3 linked regions of the Ovis aries genome follow. The protein of the gene in region 3 interacts with the protein of the main gene of each other region in a pairwise test. Links are inferred from orthologs where the notes say so. Each region holds a gene or a part of one and is shown on either strand. Other genes may lie near its edges.

Region 1 (6,428 bases), about 1.7 Mb from region 3:
CAAGAGGAGGGAGAGGCCAGGAAGAAAGGGGAAAACCAACTGCTGAGCCAGTTCTGGGGAGGGAGGGGACGCCCAGGGAGGAAGGACTGGGAGGGAGTGGTGGGGCGGGGAGTATTTTGGAAGAGGAGAAGGCTTTTCTTGTCCCAAGAGAGAAGGGAGCACTGTCTGAAGCCGTGGCCCAGCTGGGGATGTGCAACCCCGAGGTCACCCACTTCAAATGGCCTCTGTGTGCATCTCTCCCATGGGGCAGACTCGGGGTTCAAAAGCCTTCTCTCTGCTCCTTGGCTAGCCCCTGTTCCACTCCCCTCCCCCACTATCCTAGGATGTCCCCACTCCGCTCTGCAGCCCCCCCTTCCTTGGGTCTGTGAGATGTTCCTCCACTCGCTTCTCCCTGCCATTTCTCCCTAAAACCCGAACCCCTCTGCCTCCCCAGGCTTCCTACCCCAGCATTCTTTTGCCCACTTTTGCCCTGCAGACCCTGCCCCCATAGATTCCAGGCTGTGGCCTCAATTCTGGTCTCCCACCCAGATGGGCTGGGCTGGGTCAGAGACTCGGGAATGGAAAGCATGGGGGGGTGAACTCAGAGCCTGAGGGAGAGAAGAGTGAGGAGCCTGGGCACACCCTGAGAGAGACACACCCAGGACAGCGAGCCTGATTGCGGAGCAGGCTCCTTGGGCTGGGAAATGAATGGAAAAGAAGGGCCACAAGAAGGAAGGGTGTGTGTTCAGGGGAGGAAGGGTGGCAGCAGGAATGAACAAGAATAGATGAAGACAAGGATACAGAGGTATAAAAAAAGGGAGAGAGACAGGAGTCCACAGAGCAGTGATGGGGGGCTGGCCAAGAAGTCTGGGTTGGCTGCTCCCTACCTGTTTGTGGCGCCTTTCAGGGGACCCCTTGACAAGGCAGCTGCGGCTGAGGCGGAGGTAGCCCCCCAGAACCAAGATCTCCTCGGCAGTCGGGTACCGCTTCTTCCCAGCCCCAGGGACCGCCGTGTCAGCTGTGGCTGGGGCGGCTGGAGTGGCAGGGGCTGCAGGGGGCGCGGACCGCCGGGGGTTGACTGTGAAGGTGTGTCCGCTGCGGCGGGGGGCCCCCACCCCTGGCCCTGCCTTCACCCCGTAGAAGAGCCGGCTCATGAGGGGATCCCCAAGGGACTGGGGGGCAGGTGGGGCTGGGGGTGGGGGAGACAGAGGGGCTGCGGGTGGGGGCCGGAGTTCCCCTGCTTCCTCTTCCTGCCGTCTAGAGGCTCCAGTCCCGGCGTCCTCTGGGGAGAGGGGGGAGGGCGCAGAGCAGCGGTCCTGCAGGGCGCCCAGAGGCCTGCTCTGAGCGCCCGCCTCCTCCTTCTCAGCCTCTGCACCCAAAGGACCCACGTGCTTCTCAACAGACTCTGGAGTGTCTGGTTTCTGGGGCTGAGGCTCTGTGTCCCTGGGTGTCCAGTCTCGGGCCTTCCCAGAGTTCAGGGTCCATTTCCATCCTTCCGGGGGCCGCAGGCCCCTCTCGCCATCCTCTACGGGGCTGGGCCTTTCTTCTGCTCCCTCTGGTCCTGCAGAGCGACTGTCTGGAGCCTCCCTTGTTGGGGTCTCTGACGACGCTGTGGTCCCTTCTGGGTCCATTCTTGGAATCGGCCTCTCGTCTTTTCTCCCCCATTCCTCTGAGCAGTCTTTTCTTTCTTCTCCTGAACTCGGCCTCCACTCTGATGCCTCCAGTTGTCCCAAACTCTGTCCCGGAGACTCTTTGGGGTCAGGCCTCCATTTATGGGAGTCTGTCAGGCCCAGCTTCTGGTTGTCAGACTCTTCGGGGCTCCGTTTACTGTCCACCACCTCTGTTCTCCTGGGGCTTTGTTCTCGGGGCTCTGCCAGTCTCAAACTCCGCTCAGGAGTTTCTCCAGGGCTCAGCCTCCATTTCCGCACCTCTGACAGTCTAGAGCTCCTGTCTCCAGCCTCTCCTGGGCTCTGCCTCCAGTCCCGAGACTCCAAAGGCCTGGGGCTCGACTCTCGAGCGCCCCCTATCCCCAGCCTCTTCTCTCTGGCCTCCCTAGGACTGAGCCGCTCTTCCCTGGACTCTCTTCCCTTGGGGCTGGGATCCCGTGTCTCCCCGGGGCTGGGTCTCCGCCCCCGGGTCTCCAAAGGTCCAGGCCGTTTGTCCGTGAGTAGCTCTTCACTCCGCTGCTGTTGCTGCTGCTGCTGCTGCTGCTGCTGCTGCTGGCGCTCTTGCCGGATAAATCGGTTCTGGTGCACAGGCCCAATGGCCTCCAGGAGGACAGCAGACTCGTCTGGGTTTGGAGGTCCAGCCTCCGTAGTCCCAGGCGCAGGGCTAGGCTCCCCAGGAGACAGACCAAGCTTGGCCCGGCGGCGCTCCAGAAGGCCCCGCTTCCAGGCTGGCATCTGCGACAGCCGCTCCCGCTCTGCCGTCTCACGGCCGCGAACGGCTGCCTCTTCCTGCCGGCGCCGGGCTAGCAGCTGTAGCTTCCAGTCTGGGATGGTGGCCATGGTCGCCTTGGGGAGGGTGGGGGAACGCTGGGGGGCAGAGAACAGGAAGGAGAGGCTCCAGAGGGGCCCAGGAGGTGAGAATGGGGGTGGGGGAGAGGAAGCAGGGGGAGAGGTGGGTCACAGAGGAGCTGAGGGTGAGGACAGTAGGAAAGGGGGCGGCGGAGGGGAGCAGAGAAAGGGGAAAACCTGAGAAAGTGAAGAGGAAACTAAGAGCCAGGTGATGGGGTTGGGGGAGGTGGGTCGAGAGGAACAGTGGAGATTCAGGGCAAAGAGACAGGAGTCAGATTTGTGGGTACAGGTTACTGGGCATCAGAGACAGTCCCCAGGTTGTGAGAAGAGGGAAAAACGAAAGAAGCTGGCACGAGGGAGAAGAGAGAAGAGAGGCTGGGGGTGAGCGGGGCAGGATCCGACCGAGGTTGCCTGACCGCTACCTCAGGAGCGGCGGGAGTGGGAAGCGAGGTCAGCGGGATCCCCGGCGGAGAGGGGGCAGTGGGACCTGAAGGGGTGTCGGGAAGGTGGGAGGGCGGAGAGTGGACAGGTCCAGGGGAGAAGGGGGAATCGGGGGCAGAGGGGCGAGGGAGCTCGGCGGCTGTAGCCGGGCGAGTCTCGGCGCGGGCCCCGGAGGTCCGGGCTCCCCTTCCAGCTCCGCTTGAGCCACGCCTCTCAGACCCCCCAGCCCCCACCCCTCCGCCCTGCACTCCGCCCCGGGGCGGGCCAGGGGAAATACCCTCCCCCGGGGACTTTCGGAACCCGGCGATCGGAGCTGCCAGCTCGTTCCCAGAACCCTGGCGTCCACCCCCCACCAACCCTAACCCGGTCCGGGCCCCGCCGCCGGCCTCCCCCACCGGCGATGCCCCGGGGTCCCGGGCGAGCGAGCGCCTCAGGCGTACGGAGCACCGGCTCCACACCGCTTCTCTCCGGAGCCGGCCAGTCTCGCGCCGGGGTCTCGGCGCTCATGGAACCCCGACCTCGCCAGCCGTCCCCACCCGGCTATGACCGCACTGACGGGCAATCTCGGCACAAAGAGAGGAGAGGCAGCCCGAGGTCCGCGCCCGGGACGGAAGGGAGGGGACACCCCCTCCCCAAGTCTGAAGCCCCTGGGTCAACTCACATGCCGCGGGGCTCCCGGGGGAGGGGGTGCGAAGGAGCCTGACGTCCGGAGAGAGGAGGAGAGAGGAAGAGGAGGAGAGAGGGATAGAGGGAGATCCGGGGCAGGAGGTGGGGGGGGGCGCGGGGGGCGCGGGAGGGGGGAAGGGAGGAGAAGGGGAGGGACGGAGACAGACCCGGGGGCCGAGCGGGGGGCGGCCGCCGCTTTGTCTGAGGACAATGGGGAGAGGGAAGGGGGCGCTGGGCGGAGCCGGGCGCGGGGGCGGAGCCTCGCTCCCCGGGTCCCCCGCGTGGATCCTCGGCCCCGGGACTCCTGTTTTCCCGCCGCGATCCCCGGCACTCCGCGGTCCTTCCCCAGGGCCTCTCACGCGGCTGCCGCCCGGTAACCCTGGACAGCCCAGGTGTCCAGACCCCCACCCCCAGCTAGCCAAGCCGGGGCGGCGGCCCGTGACTCAGACCCCTCGAGGGACTTCGGGAGGAAGCGGCAGCTGCTCGGAGCCGGGCCCGCCCTTCCCATCTCCTGCCGCTCCTCCCCACGCTTTTGCCTTCCCGGGCCAGCCTTTGTTACCGTGGGGGCGCTTGCGGGGCCCGTGGGGAGGGGGCGGCCACAGGAGCAGGGCTGGGAAGACAACGGTTTCGGAAGCTCGCTCCCTTACCCGAACCGTCTCCCCACTCTTCCGTTTCAGCCCGTCCCCCACCCGGGTCTGCAGCAAGGAAATTGGGAGATTTGGAGGAAGGGGGACCGGGTGCTCCGGGAAGGGGGTGGAGGGCTGGGTGCGCGGGGAGTGGCCGCCGCCCAGCGGTCACCAGAAGGCGCGGCCGATGCCCAGACTCCAATGTAACTCGCCTTTCCCAGAGCCAGCCCTGCAGCTTTGAGAGACACTGACAGACTGCATTCTACACGTAGAAAAACCAGACTGAATTTTATTTTCCTGTAGCGTGAGTTCCTCGGGAAAGCAGGGAGCCTCTAGTCACCTTAGCTAAGAACGGGAGAAACCGCTCAACTAGGTTCAGGAGGATGGAGCCTAGGGTCGGGGCCTAGGGAGCTGAAAAGGCCAGACAGTGGGCCTCGGTCCAGCCCCTGGGAGGGAGCTAGACGTGGAGAAAGGATCCCTGAGGCACAGAGGGTAGTAACAGGGCTAAGGGAGTGGTCAAGCCAGACTCTTCTCTTGGTGAGGAAATTGTTAACGGAGGGTCAAGCCCTGAACTGTGAGAAGAAGTTCCCAGCCACTCCTTCCTGGCTGGTGAGAAGTGGCCCTTGGAGTCCAATGGCTGAAATTCAGTATGGAGCTGGAACCAAGGAGTGGAGGCTCAAGCAAGGAAAGGGACCACTCCTTCAGTCCATGGATTTGGGCCTCTGGTCTGAAGCAGCCAAGGCCTAGATGTTAAGGGAATTTGGGATAGGAGGGAGAGAGGAAGTACAGGGCTTGCAACCAGGGTTAACCCCTTACTCGGCCTCCCCATCCTGGGGCCGGGAGAGCAGGTGGAGTTTTCTTTGTAGCTGGGCCCGGAGATAGCGGAGATCATGCTGGTCCAGTCCGTGAGCCAGGCCCAGGTAGAGGGTAAGGAGGAGAGCAAGGAGCAGGCGGTCAGTGCCCAGGGTGGGTACCACCCATAGCACTGTCAGCAGCTCCACGCACACTGGATGGCGCAGGTGGGAGAAGAGTCTCAGAGCCCGGGGCGACTTCAGGGCCAGAGGCTCGCCCAGCCCCAGCACATGGTAGTACACCTAGCAGAGGGAGAATGGCTTAGGAATGGAGCCAAGCCCTTGTCACAACTTAACTGCCTCTTTCCTCCCGTCCTGGGCACCCTCCTTCTATGACAGGCTCAGGAACCACCCTCCTGAGACTGGAGGTCCCTGACCCTCATCTCTGGCCCATGAACCTTCCCAGGCCCAAGAAGCCCATGATTCCTAGCCTTTGAGGGAGGGCTGGGGGGAGACTGTCTTATAAGAAAGGGAGGTGAAGGGCTCAAAAACAAGAGGCAGGTGGAAGACAATGGGAGGCACAGGGACATCCTTGGAGGGGAAAGAGGTATTCTAGAAAGGATCAGATGTCTTGGGTAGGGATCTGGGAGCCTCACCTGTTTCAGGCCCATGAGCTCTGCGTAGTCGAAGACGAGAAGGATGCTGAAGATGAGGAGCCAGGAAATGACGTGGAGGACAAAGCAGAGGAGGGGCACCCAAGTGGCCCATGGCTCAGCCCGAGCCTCCCACAACACAGGACCCCTGGGCACAGGCTCCCAGTACCGCATCACCAGCTGAGGAAGGAAGAGGAACTGGGTTTCCCAGCAGCCCACCCTTGACAGACCCAGACCCAGGGGCTGCCTCCAGTCCAGGCTGGCCAGCTGTTCCCCCCACCTCTATCATGAGCATGTTCACCATGTGGAGGGTGCTGGGTGGGGTCCTAAGGATGTAAGAATGACTTGTCTCCACTCTGAGGACTTAGAGAATGGATGAGGGTGACCACATAGGCACACAAAATAGCCTATGCCAAGCACCCACTGAGGAGACAGGTGAGTACTAACCGGGAAGCTTTCTCTTGAGATCTAGGGAAGTGCTTTTGAAGAAAGGATAAGACTGAAGAGGTGTTACCAAGGCACTCTCAAGCGGGACAACAGGAACGAAGTTGCAAAGGTGAGAATGCACACATCATGCGTAGGGGATGACAAGCAGTACATACTTCTTGATAAAAAGGAGAAATGTGTGCTGTGAAATAACGGGAGCTGAGACTAGTCCTGAACACCCTCAGTTCTCCTCCTAAACCCACACTTTATCCGAAGCCTGAGGTTCTTGCAGCTCCAATCAATGACATCCTTCACACATGCTGTTTCCCT
Region 2 (6,226 bases), on a different chromosome or scaffold from region 3:
ACCCTCCTGGAGAAGGGAAGGGCAACCCACTCCAGTATTCTTGCTGGGAAATTCCACAGAGAGAGGAACCTGGTGGGCTACAGTCCACGGGGTCGCAAAGAGTCAGATAACGACTTAATAGACTAAATACAAATATATACACAAATTGTAAACTGAACCAACTTAATGATTCCTGTCATGGGATTCTCTCCCTGTAGCCCAATCTCTGCTGAATGATGTCACCCCAGCCACAGTGCCCCCTTCTCTCCTTGCCCCAAAGTCTTGTGGGTCTGCCCCCTTTCTCCTGCCACTCCAGTTCTGACCACCATCACTCACCTGGGCTGCAGCTGCAACCCCTCAATTGACATCACCCCTTCCCGCCCCCTCGACCCTGCTACTGCTCCCCAAAATGCAGCCAGGGCCCCACTGCACCTCTGCTGAGAATCTCGCAGGCGCTCCCGGGTGCCTCCAGGGGAAGGCCACCCAAGGCTGTCCCAGGTGGCCCCATCTGCCTACCCAGCCTCCACTGTTGGGTTTCCCCCTTCCTATCAGATGTCCCAACCTCTTGCAGCCTCTTGTAGATGTTAAATAACCAAATGAACCAGATCTTCTGTGTGGAGCCTCTTTCCAAAGCGGCTGGAGTGATCTCTTTCATCCCAGCACAAGATGCAAATTTAGAAACAAGGCGAGCAACGTGATTTCATCTACTTAGGCAAACCAATGGGAGGATCTCTTTGGTTTTCACCTCTCGAAGTTTGGGGTTGTTCTTTTTCCAGTGTTCATACAAAAGTCGTTCAGCAATCTGCCAAGAAAACACAAAGAGGGGAGACTGACATCGCTCTTCCAATCCATCCATGTTTCAGGTAACCCACAGTGAAGTCAGGTGAGCCTAAGAGCTCCTCCACTGGCAGCCAGCACCGCACCTGCCCTTCAGGCTTCCCTCGGGCCTCAGGAGGTGTCTGGCTCTCAACAGACACCAATCAGGTGCTGATAAATGACTCATTTCTTTGGCTACGCCAAACGACTTGTGGGATCTTAGTTCCGTGATCAGGGATTGAACCTGGGCACTCAGCAGTGAGCGTGGAGTCTTAACCACTGGACCACCAGGGAGTTCCCACAAATGACTCTTATAATGGTGATAAAAAGGGGCCAAAATCTGATGCTACAAATGGGTCCTAGATGCTAAAGATCTACTTCAAAATATACAGCAGGCTTAAAAACACAGCTTAGAGACCACCACTACACAGGACTACTTTGGAAGTTAAGTTAAAATACACCAGTCCCAGCCTTTCATGGGACCAGAGAACTAGAATAAAGAAAAGGGACTCAGATATAATGATTTAAGGGGCCCAAGAGAATAAAGATGACTCCTGGAAAATACACACGAACAACGACTCAGAGTCAGCACTTTTCTCAGCTGGCTCTGTAGTGAACTGCCATCTCGGCCCCTGAGGGAGACGCCTCGTGGCCTCACCGACAGGCCGGGGACTCGGGCTTCGCACCCTGCTGAAGAGCTACGCGGAGTTACCAGCTTCCTTTGCTCCTCTCGGGCCGCCTTCAGGTTCCCGTGCTGCTCCCGGATTCTCCCTTCCCTCAGGTTCATGCTCAGCCTCAGCTCCTCCAGTTGTCTGGCCAGCAAGTCCTGCTCCTCCACCAGAAGCTGCCTGAGTCTCTGCCGTCGGGCCTCCAGACGCTTCCTGCCCTCCTCCTTCATCTTCTCCCGCTGGTAAGCATGCATGCTGGGCGAGAGGGGCCACCATCAGCCTGGATGCTTCCAGCTGCACAGGGGCTACATGGCTGGCTGTGTGGGTGACAGGCTGAGACACATGGAACATGGTGACCTGGGAAGGCGTCCTCCAGCCAAAGTGAACAGGCCAGGTAATAGAACCACTATGCATAATAGAATCTTGTTCTTGCAAGGAAATGTACAAGAGGCGTATCTATGCACATGGTAATATTATCTGAGTAGTTACCATGTACTACATAACCTGGATGGTTTTTATAGTAGTCATGACATAAATCCTATAAATTAGGTTCTGTTTTAGCCCCACTTCACTGATGAGGAAACTGAGGCTCATTCATACAGCAAGTGACACAGTCAGAATTGCTATCTAGGTCTGTCCGACTCCAAAGCCCATAGTCAGAATTGCTATCTAGGTCTGTGTGACTTCAAAGCCCATGCTTTTAACTTCCGTGTTTTCGTATGTATCTCTCTCTATAAAAATGGGTGTATGCTTGTATCTATATTTACACACAAAAACAGATGAAGAAGTGTACGGGAGGTTACGGACCAGACAGTTCACGGTGGTTCTCTCCTGGGGAAATGGGGCTACCGGGGGACTTCCGGATTCTACATACACGTCTCATCATCTTATCTTTTTCAGTCAAATGTGTTACTTCACTGCTGACCTTCTTTTCAGTTTCCAGTTGGAAAGACATCGCCATGCGAGTATCCACGGAAATCATCACATTTCCATGCAAGTATCCACGCCGGCCAGCCACCCTCCCCCAGGTCCTTGAGTCAGTCACATCTCCCGGCAGTAGGTGGCCCTCCAGCCCTAAGGGAAGGTGCTCACCGCACAGTTACCTCCGCTGGTAGGAGGCCCTGGAGCTCCACTCTGCCTGTTTGGAGCTGCGGATGTCGGACATCTGGAAGTAGCGGCTGTTCTGGTCCCACTGCTGCCGAAGATGCGCCTCCTGCTCCTGGCGGCGCTGTCGGGCGGCCTGCTGATCTGGGAGCCGCCGGCTGCACCAGGAGGAGGGCAGCGTGGGGAGTGCCATCTGAGGAGAACAGCAGCGCTAAGAACAGGAGCCTGCTGCAGCTCCTCACCCCTTTGAGGCCCGGTCCTCACCCTGGGCTGCACACTGGGATCTCCTGGTAGAGCCTGGGCCCCAAGGCAGACCAATTAAGTAAAAAAAAAAAAATCTCAGTGCAGGCTCCCAGGCACCAGCATTTTAAAAATGACTTGCTACCAGGACCCCAAATCATCTAGCTGAAGAAGCCTGGACTGCACCCAGCTGTGAGCCTGACATCAGTAAGGGCAGTGCAGAGACAGGGAGCCAGTGCTGACGACACTGGACTGGCACACGGAGGGTTTCTGCGCTCTGCCTAAGGTAACAGAGAGGATAACTGCAGGCATGCGGATGTGGGCCAAGCCCTTGACTTATATGACCTTTTTCATTGTTACTAGCACCCTGCTGTTTTTGGCAGCTGAGGAAACTGAAGTTCAAAGAGGTAAAATGACTTGAAGATCACAAAGCCAGGAAGCAGAGGAAATTTAAACAGGAGCTGGGAGCCTAATTCATGTTAGCCTGGGATGAGGGCCCAAGCTCTGTAGACTGCAAGATGGTACTTGTTGGGACCAACATGCCCTGGCTGTGAAGTGAAATGAAAGTCGCTTGCTGAAATCAAAGTCCTGTCCCACTCTTTGCAACCCCATGGACTGTAGCCCACGAGGCTCCTCTGTCCATAGTATTCTCCAGGCAAGGATATTGGAGTGGGTTGCTATCTCCAGGTGTCACACCTGGTAATGTTCTGGATGAGCATGGAGGGAGATCCCTCCTTCTTACAGATGGAGAAACTACCACCCAGAGGGAAGAATCAATTTGCACGGGTCAAGGGGGCGATCTGGGGACACGGGCGGAGACTCGAAAGCAGAACCAGTCTCTCCGGACATCTCCCCCCAACCACTCCCGGTCCAAAAGCTGCCCCAGGTGCAGGGTCTACACAGTGCCTGGCTGTGACAGTGCTCAAGGAGCTTCTGGCAAATAAACAAACTCAGAGTCCTCCGAACCGGGAGGAAAATGATCTGCGTCTATGAGTCAAGCTTAGCCTGAGACTGCCAGGTCAAATCTGTCTTCAGACTGTGGCAGGCCTGACAGACATTTTTCTTTGCCCCATAGGCCGCCTGCGGATAAATCTTTGCACGAGGATTGAGGAAAGTGAAGATTCCGGCCCCAGATGAACCATCAACAACAAGCTGGGAGGCTCTCTGAACAAGTCGCATCCCTCTCTCAGCCACATACAACAAAAGAGATTACAGAGGAAAGGGTCGGACCCAGGCCGCGCGGGGAGCCGAGTGAGGACTGGAAGCCGAAGCCCCGGGCGCCCCGCGATCGCGTCCCGGGACGGCGGGCGCGCTTCCCGCCAGCGCGGAGCCGACTGCGGCAGAGCTCTGAGGGTCCAGACCCCAACGCCGGCCCCCGACCGAGCCCAAACCCCCGACTCACGTTTCTCTGCGCGCCGGAGTTTCCCAAGACTGCCCCGGCCCAAGGTCCCGCAAGCCCCAAATAATCCCTGCCCGGGCCACGGCGACCCTCTCCGACAGCGCTGCACTTACGCCGGCCGTTTCCCCGCTCGTTGCCGAGGCAACGGGCCGGCGATGGAGCGCCGCGAGGGCCAAGCCTCCTGCAGCGCGATTACTCGGCGCGCAGAGCAAGAAAAGAAGTCTGTGTTTTTCTCCGATGCCCCCTCGTGGTGGGCGGGAGCTCAATCGCAGACATCGCTTGTCTAAGGAAAAGAATCCATTCACTACACCAAATTCAGGATGATGGCTACCTGAGGGAGGCAGGTGAGCGTCGGGGAAAATCAGAGGGATATAATAGGGAAGGGAATTATAAGCCAGTCACCCTCAAACCTGGCTGCACAAGAGAATCATCTGGAGAGCTCTGAAAAATCCAGATGTCCAAACCGGACTCCAGACAAACCCCATCGAGCACTCTGTGGTTGTCTAAGCCCCTCAGGTGTGTTCAAGGTGTAGCCAGCTCGAAGAACCGCTGATATAAGTAGGTTCGAGCTATTGGCAACTTTCTATTGTTTTAGGATGGTGGTGGGTTCAAGGGTGTTCCTTCTGTTAGTATGTTTTATAACTCACATGCTACGTGTATCATTCTATGTACCAACTATTCTCTTAAAAAATGAAATTAAAAGATTGGAAATTCCCCGGCAGTCCAATGGTTAAGACAGCCCACTGTCACTGCCGAGAGCCTGGGTTCAATCCCTGATTGGGGAGCTAAGATCCCACAAGCTCTGCAGTGTGACAAAAATAAATGAAAAGCAAAAGTATTAACTCTTTTATTCAGGCTCTTTTCATTTTCCCATTTTTGTCTTCATTTATTCTTTCCTTCACCCTTTCCTCCTTTTTTTATTTAAATTTTATTTATTTAGCTGCCTGGGGTCTTAGTCGCGGGCACTCCCATCTTCTAGTTGTAGCTTGTAGGGTTAGGTGCTCTGCCACATGTGGGAACCTAGTTCCCCAACCAGGGATCAAACTTGGGTCCTCTACATTGCAAGCTGGACTCTTAACCACCAGACCACCAGGGAAGGCCCGCCCGCCCGCTTCCTTCTTTTATTCAATTCTCTGTTTTCCCTGGATGCAGTATAAAGTCTGGTTGAACAGAGTGACCTCTGTTGCAGCCTCCACCACAACAGTCGTGTGGTCTGGACAGGTCACTTCGTCACTCTGAGCCTCCGTGTCCTCATCCGTGAAATAAGAATGTTCAAGTAATTGAAAAAGGAGCCCATTAGACTGGGAAGGCTGTGACACCTCCGTAGCCGATGCAGGTCAACCTAAACCTAGGCCAGAGCCAAAGCACCCAAATTGGAGAAAATGAAATTTAGCACTCACAAACAGCCAACTGGGCTTTCCCAAACAAGGCAACCTCTTAAGTTACAGCCAATCAAACGATTTCCTTGCTTTCACATCTTCTTTCTAAAAACCTCTCCTAGATCCTGCCGGTAGAGTGTTCTGAACACCTTTCTTTTGCCTGATTCCGATCAGCAAGTCTTGAAAGTTTTACTGTGCCTCAGATTAGCTTTAAATAAGAATACCGACAGGGCTGCTTTCTACAGTTGCCCTCATGAGAGGAAATGAAAGTTTAAATGGAGCGGCCTCGGGAGCAGAGCACCTGGTGCATCTCAGGAGAGCATGCGCTCGCATACCTCCCCCCCTTTTTTTTCTAGTTTTTTGGCAGCATGCAGGACATGCAGGATCTGAGTTCCCTGACAAGGGATTGCACTGCCCCCCTCTGTAGTGGAAGCACAGAGTCTTTACCACTGGACCACCAGGGAAGTCCCTCTCACATCTCCCTCAGAACCTGCCCTGCCCTGTGCGTGAGATCCTCTGGAGTTAGCCTGTGATTGGTCCCAACCCCTTGGGCCAAGCTCACGGCCAGTCACCCATCCTGTGTCCACAGCGGAGAAGGGAAGCAGCCACCCACTCTCCTCAGCCCAGCCAGAGCCATCCAC
Region 3 (4,775 bases):
CTAGGGAAAGTCTAGGAAAAATCTGGAGTCATCCCTTCTCTGTCTGAGCTCTAGAGTTGAAACTCTCCCTCCCCTTGACAGTCACCTTCACCTGAGGTTCACAGACTGGGTAAATCTATGATCTCAAACTCATCTGAGGTTTGTATTCACATGACCACCTTCTATTTCATGGGATCTTCTTCATGGACAAACAACATGTGTGTTAGTTGCTCAGTCGTGTCCACCTCTTTGTGACCGCATGGACTGGGGCTCGCTGGGCTCTTCCATCCATGGGATTCTCCAGGCAAGAATACTGGAACAAGTTGCCATTTCCTTCTTCATCATGAACAGAGGGACTCTACAAACAATGGGTCTTCTTTCATTAATGTCCCCTGGTTGTGATCCATATTTAATTCTTTCAAGATTGAATATGTTGCTTATGTCTTACATTTCCTAATATTGCACAGGGTACAGTAGAGGGAACCAAAGAGCATAAGGCACTGACCTACCCTTGGAGCTAAATGTCTGGTTGGAGGTATGAGGTCTACCCATGACTTGAGGGAATAAATGGGAACTGTTGTGAACACATTGTTGAACCACGAACCACGCCTCTGAGGTTCTTGGTCACCTCCACCAGTTGTCATGAGCCTTTTGTGGGAGACAGTCAGCCTACCTGAACTATGGTTCAGAGAGATAATGTTAGGGAATCTTCCTTCTGAACAAGATAAGAAGAACAAGTGAGAGAATATGTCAGTGATTTTAAAACTGGAAACCACCACGATTGTCAGATGCATGTGGCACTATTTAGTGTCTTTATCTGATATAATGTGAATATCCATATGTTTCACAGCAGATCTGTTAGTATTGGTTGTAGAGTGCTACACCACACCCTCTCTGTCTAAATACTGTAAACTTCTGGACCCTGTGGCTTTCGGATTAAGGGGTTGGACATACACATAAGAAAACCTTAAATTCAGCTTATAACGGATATTGTGGTTTAAAATGTGGAAAAGCAAGGTAAAAATTTCAGTACTTCCAGTATATCCTAGCTAAATGAGATAACTACCTAATCCAAACAGTAATTTTGGGAATGTCAGCTTCAGGGTGGACTTAAATGTATAAAATGAATGTGTCTTTGCTGGAGAGCTCTTACTCTCTTCTCAGGGATAGGAGAAAAGCTGAGTGTTCAGAGTGGGCTGTCCTGGTGCTTGGCTAATCCTCCTCTGCCCCTGTATTTCTCTGCAGTGGATGTGACTCTGGACCCAGACACAGCCTACCCCAGCCTGATCCTCTCTGATAACCTGCGGCAAGTGCGGTACAGTTACCTCCAGCAGGACCTGCCCGACAACCCTGAGCGGTTCAATCTGTTTCCCTGTGTCTTGGGCTCTCCATGCTTCATCGCTGGGAGACACTATTGGGAGGTAGAGGTGGGAGATAAAGCCAAGTGGACCATAGGTGTCTGTGAAGACTCAGTGTGCAGAAAAGGTGGGGTAACCTCAGCCCCCCAGAATGGATTCTGGGCAGTGTCCTTGTGGTATGGGAAAGAATACTGGGCTCTCACCTCCCCAATGACTGCCCTCCCCCTGCGGACCCCTCTCCAACGGGTGGGGATTTTCTTGGACTATGATGCTGGCGAGGTCTCCTTCTACAACGTGACAGAGAGGTGTCACACCTTTACTTTCTCTCATGCTACCTTCTGTGGGCCTGTCCGGCCCTACTTCAGTCTGAGTTACTCTGGAGGGAAGAGCGCAGCTCCTCTGATCATCTGTCCCATGAGTGGCATCGATGGGTTTTCTGGCCATGTTGGGAATCATGGTCATTCCATGGAGACCTCCCCTTGAGGAGGTGAACTCAGGCCAGAAGGGCTGCTGGCTGTACTCCCACCCCAGGCATGAGGCATCTTGTTGCCTTGCCACTTCCTGCCCATCACAGCTGGATGTTCTTACCACTTTCCGTGCCCTGCAGTGCAAGACAGGATGTCTGTGTTCTCTGCCATCCCCCCCTTCCCATGAAAATTGTGAGATGTAATAAGTTATCGAGATTGCCCAGAAATAAAAACCAGATGTCCACCTCCAGTGTTCCACACTTCTTGGTCTTATACATTACTGGAGGGGATAAAGAATATGGATAATCTTGGGTTAGGAGAGCCATTCAAGATTCTTACACCTGGGCTCAGCCCCATATAGTGATCATGGGTATTTGCTGTCGTTTCTGAACCAGGGCTTCTTTCTGAGAACCCACAGCTGGACTAAAGTCCTGTCAGCATGGATCCCTTTGTCCCAGTTTTTCCTTTGGGATTAGTACCTCTACCCCTGATTCCCAATCTGCTGTAGTTTTATTAACTCCATTAAAGAGGCCTGTATGTGTTTTGATTAGTTACAGTTATTTTACAGTAATGGTGGGAAATAGCCCCACCTCTGTTAGGAGATAATATTCTAATCAATGTGCTCTTTGCCTCTATCTTTTTGAGGGCTTTGTCAGCTCCCTTCATTCTAATGAAAAGTGTATCCTAGTCCTGGATGCACATCATCCGGGATTATTTTCTGCTCAACACCACTCATTGTTCCTACCTCCCATCCCACTTCCATTTGTGGACTGATGGTCAGTCATACCCTATCCCTGGAAGGATTCTGGGGCAATATTCCAGGGGATTCATTGACTTGTCTCCATTTCTCCCTTCTATTTCAAGGGAAGAGGGAGTTTACCTTTCTGATGTGTGTACCATCAAGGGGCTATTCCATCCCTATGGCCATTGGATCACGAGGCATTCTGAGGTCAGAAAGCCAAGGCAGATCACTTAGCACAAGCCCCCATGATGGTTCTTAGTCTTCTCTTTCTTTGGGTACATGCTCCTCTGTTTAAAAATAAAGTGAGTATGGATGTTGTTTACACTGTTGTTATTTTCTGGGTCTTGGTAGGACTGGGTTCATAGATATTGGAGGAAATCAACACTATTAACCTCTATGGTTTGAGAATCTCATTCTGGTCAGTATTTTACTTTCAACTGGATGATAAAAACAGTACCATGTCACTGCTTTCTACTGGTGCTTGGAAACTAGTGTTGGACTTCCATAGCCTACAGCTTTGTATTGGCTAATCCTGTCACGTCTCTGGAAAAGTGTTCTCTCAAGTGCTTATAACTGACAGTGGGGTATGCAGCAATGCTTGGTATAGATCAGAGCGCCCAGAGCTTGCTTCCCACCTCAGAAGCAGCAGCCTAAGCCCTTAGGGTCATGGAGGGCACCACATTCTAAGGAGGAAAAATATGCTGAGAGGACAGCTCTTTTCCAGGAGGTTTTCGATCTTTTCTGCTTTTGGACATGACCTCAAGATGACAAGATTTTGTGGTCTTAGTCTTGTACCCAACATTGTGGTTCATGGCTGAAGATCATGCATTGGTGATATGTCCTGATTCATTTATTTATTCAAAAGGTTTTAAGAGAAATAACCAGGAGCTTCAGAGAGGGGCTTCCATGAGGCTAGGTTAGCTTTTGCTGAATAGTCTCAATAGATATAAATACATGTGCTAACAAACGACAGAGGATGAGATGGCTGGATGGCATCACTGGCTCGATGGACGTGAGTCTGAGTGAACTCCAGGAGTTGGCGATGGACAGAGAGGCCTGGCGTGCTGCGATTCATGGGGTTGCAAAGAGTCGGACACGACTGAGTGACTGAACTGAACTGAACTGAACATATATATATATTATGTATATAAAATACTACTACACAGATAAAGAGCAATGCTCAGCACATAGTATGAAGTGCTTTGTGTACAATGGCTTATTTAATGCTCTTAACAACCCTACAAGATAAAGTAGATACTGTTGCCTTTATTTTACACAAGAAAATTGAAGCATAGAGAGGGTAGTGATTTATCCAAGGTGTACAGTTAGGAAGCAACAGGGCCAGGATTCAGACCAAGGTGAAATACATGTCCACGTACATCGTATCCTGCCTCACAATATCTATGGATTATGCTTTTCTGCATGGAAAGGTAGAGACTGAGGCCTTGGGGTGCCAGTCTGTTGACCTGGGATACCAGCCTTTAACAGTAAGTCTGTCTACTCTAGATTCAAGAATTCGCAACTGGAAAACTGGGTGAAGAGACCCAGTCAGAATTGCATTTCAGTTTTACTTAATATAGTCCATTGGGACAAGGAGGAAGAATAAGAGCCCATAAAGAGGGCACCTTGCTTGGTACCAGTCCCAAGAAAATGTGCTCCTAGGAAAGACTCCCTGATCCTTGCTGCTCAACTGATGGAGCTGTCTCCAGGCTAACAAAAGGTCTCACACGGGGTCTGCTTTATCTCTAGTAGACTCAGTACTAATAGGAGCAGCATCTTAATGAATTTTTATTAACAGCAGCAGCTGGAGCAGCGGTAAGCAACCTCTTTGGATTCAGCAAAGCTACTTCCAATTTGAACTGGGATATACTACAAGACAATCTTACTAACAATGCTGAATGGGAAAAAGTCTCAAAAAGACTGTATACTTTACAGTACCCTTTCTGTGATATGGACAAAAGGTTTGTGGTTACCAGTGGGCCATGTGGAGGACGGTAGAGAAGGAGGGCGTGAATTGATGTGCTTTGTACTGTTTATCCTATGATTCTTATGGGTGGTGGGTTTAGAGGTATAAAAACAAATTTTTTAAACGTCATTTTGAATGAAGTTAAACTTTGCAGACGATCTGCAGGAAGGTAAGCATTTGAATTCATCAGGTCACAATATGGACCCCTTTAGGCAAACATGGGGTCCAGTTCTTCTGGTTCCTCTCTGGTCCTTTCCTCAGAA

What was found.
Region 1: the proteins of TRIM27 (region 3) and PPP1R18 interact in binary tests that used the Homo sapiens proteins (3 or more experiments, as listed by UniProt). The two-hybrid records come from large-scale screens. The link is inferred for Ovis aries from reciprocal best matches to the Homo sapiens genes TRIM27 and PPP1R18.
Region 2: the proteins of TRIM27 (region 3) and TCHP interact in binary tests that used the Homo sapiens proteins (3 or more experiments, as listed by UniProt). The two-hybrid records come from large-scale screens. The link is inferred for Ovis aries from reciprocal best matches to the Homo sapiens genes TRIM27 and TCHP.

Annotation. Positions count from the first base shown.
Region 1 is NC_056073.1:27,437,666-27,444,093, reverse strand, and holds the start of PPP1R18 (phostensin), read right to left. Parts: upstream 4,323-6,428; 5' UTR 4,250-4,322; exon of another isoform or gene 3,598-4,249; intron 2,514-3,597; 5' UTR 2,487-2,513; coding exon 867-2,486; intron 1-866. Other genes in the region: NRM (nurim), read right to left, coding at 5,041-5,322, 5,676-5,852.
Region 2 is NC_056070.1:63,502,593-63,508,818, forward strand, and holds the start of TCHP (trichoplein keratin filament-binding protein), read right to left. Parts: upstream 4,323-6,226; 5' UTR 4,210-4,322; intron 2,761-4,209; coding exon 2,567-2,760; exon of another isoform or gene 2,556-2,566; intron 1,719-2,555; coding exon 1,508-1,718; intron 782-1,507; coding exon 725-781; intron 1-724. UniProt on the Homo sapiens protein: Tumor suppressor which has the ability to inhibit cell growth and be pro-apoptotic during cell stress. Inhibits cell growth in bladder and prostate cancer cells by a down-regulation of HSPB1 by inhibiting its phosphorylation.
Region 3 is NC_056073.1:29,130,564-29,135,338, forward strand, and holds the end of TRIM27 (zinc finger protein RFP), read left to right. Parts: intron 1-1,224; coding exon 1,225-1,820; 3' UTR 1,821-2,868; downstream 2,869-4,775. UniProt on the Homo sapiens protein: E3 ubiquitin-protein ligase that mediates ubiquitination of various substrates and thereby plays a role in diffent processes including proliferation, innate immunity, apoptosis, immune response or autophagy.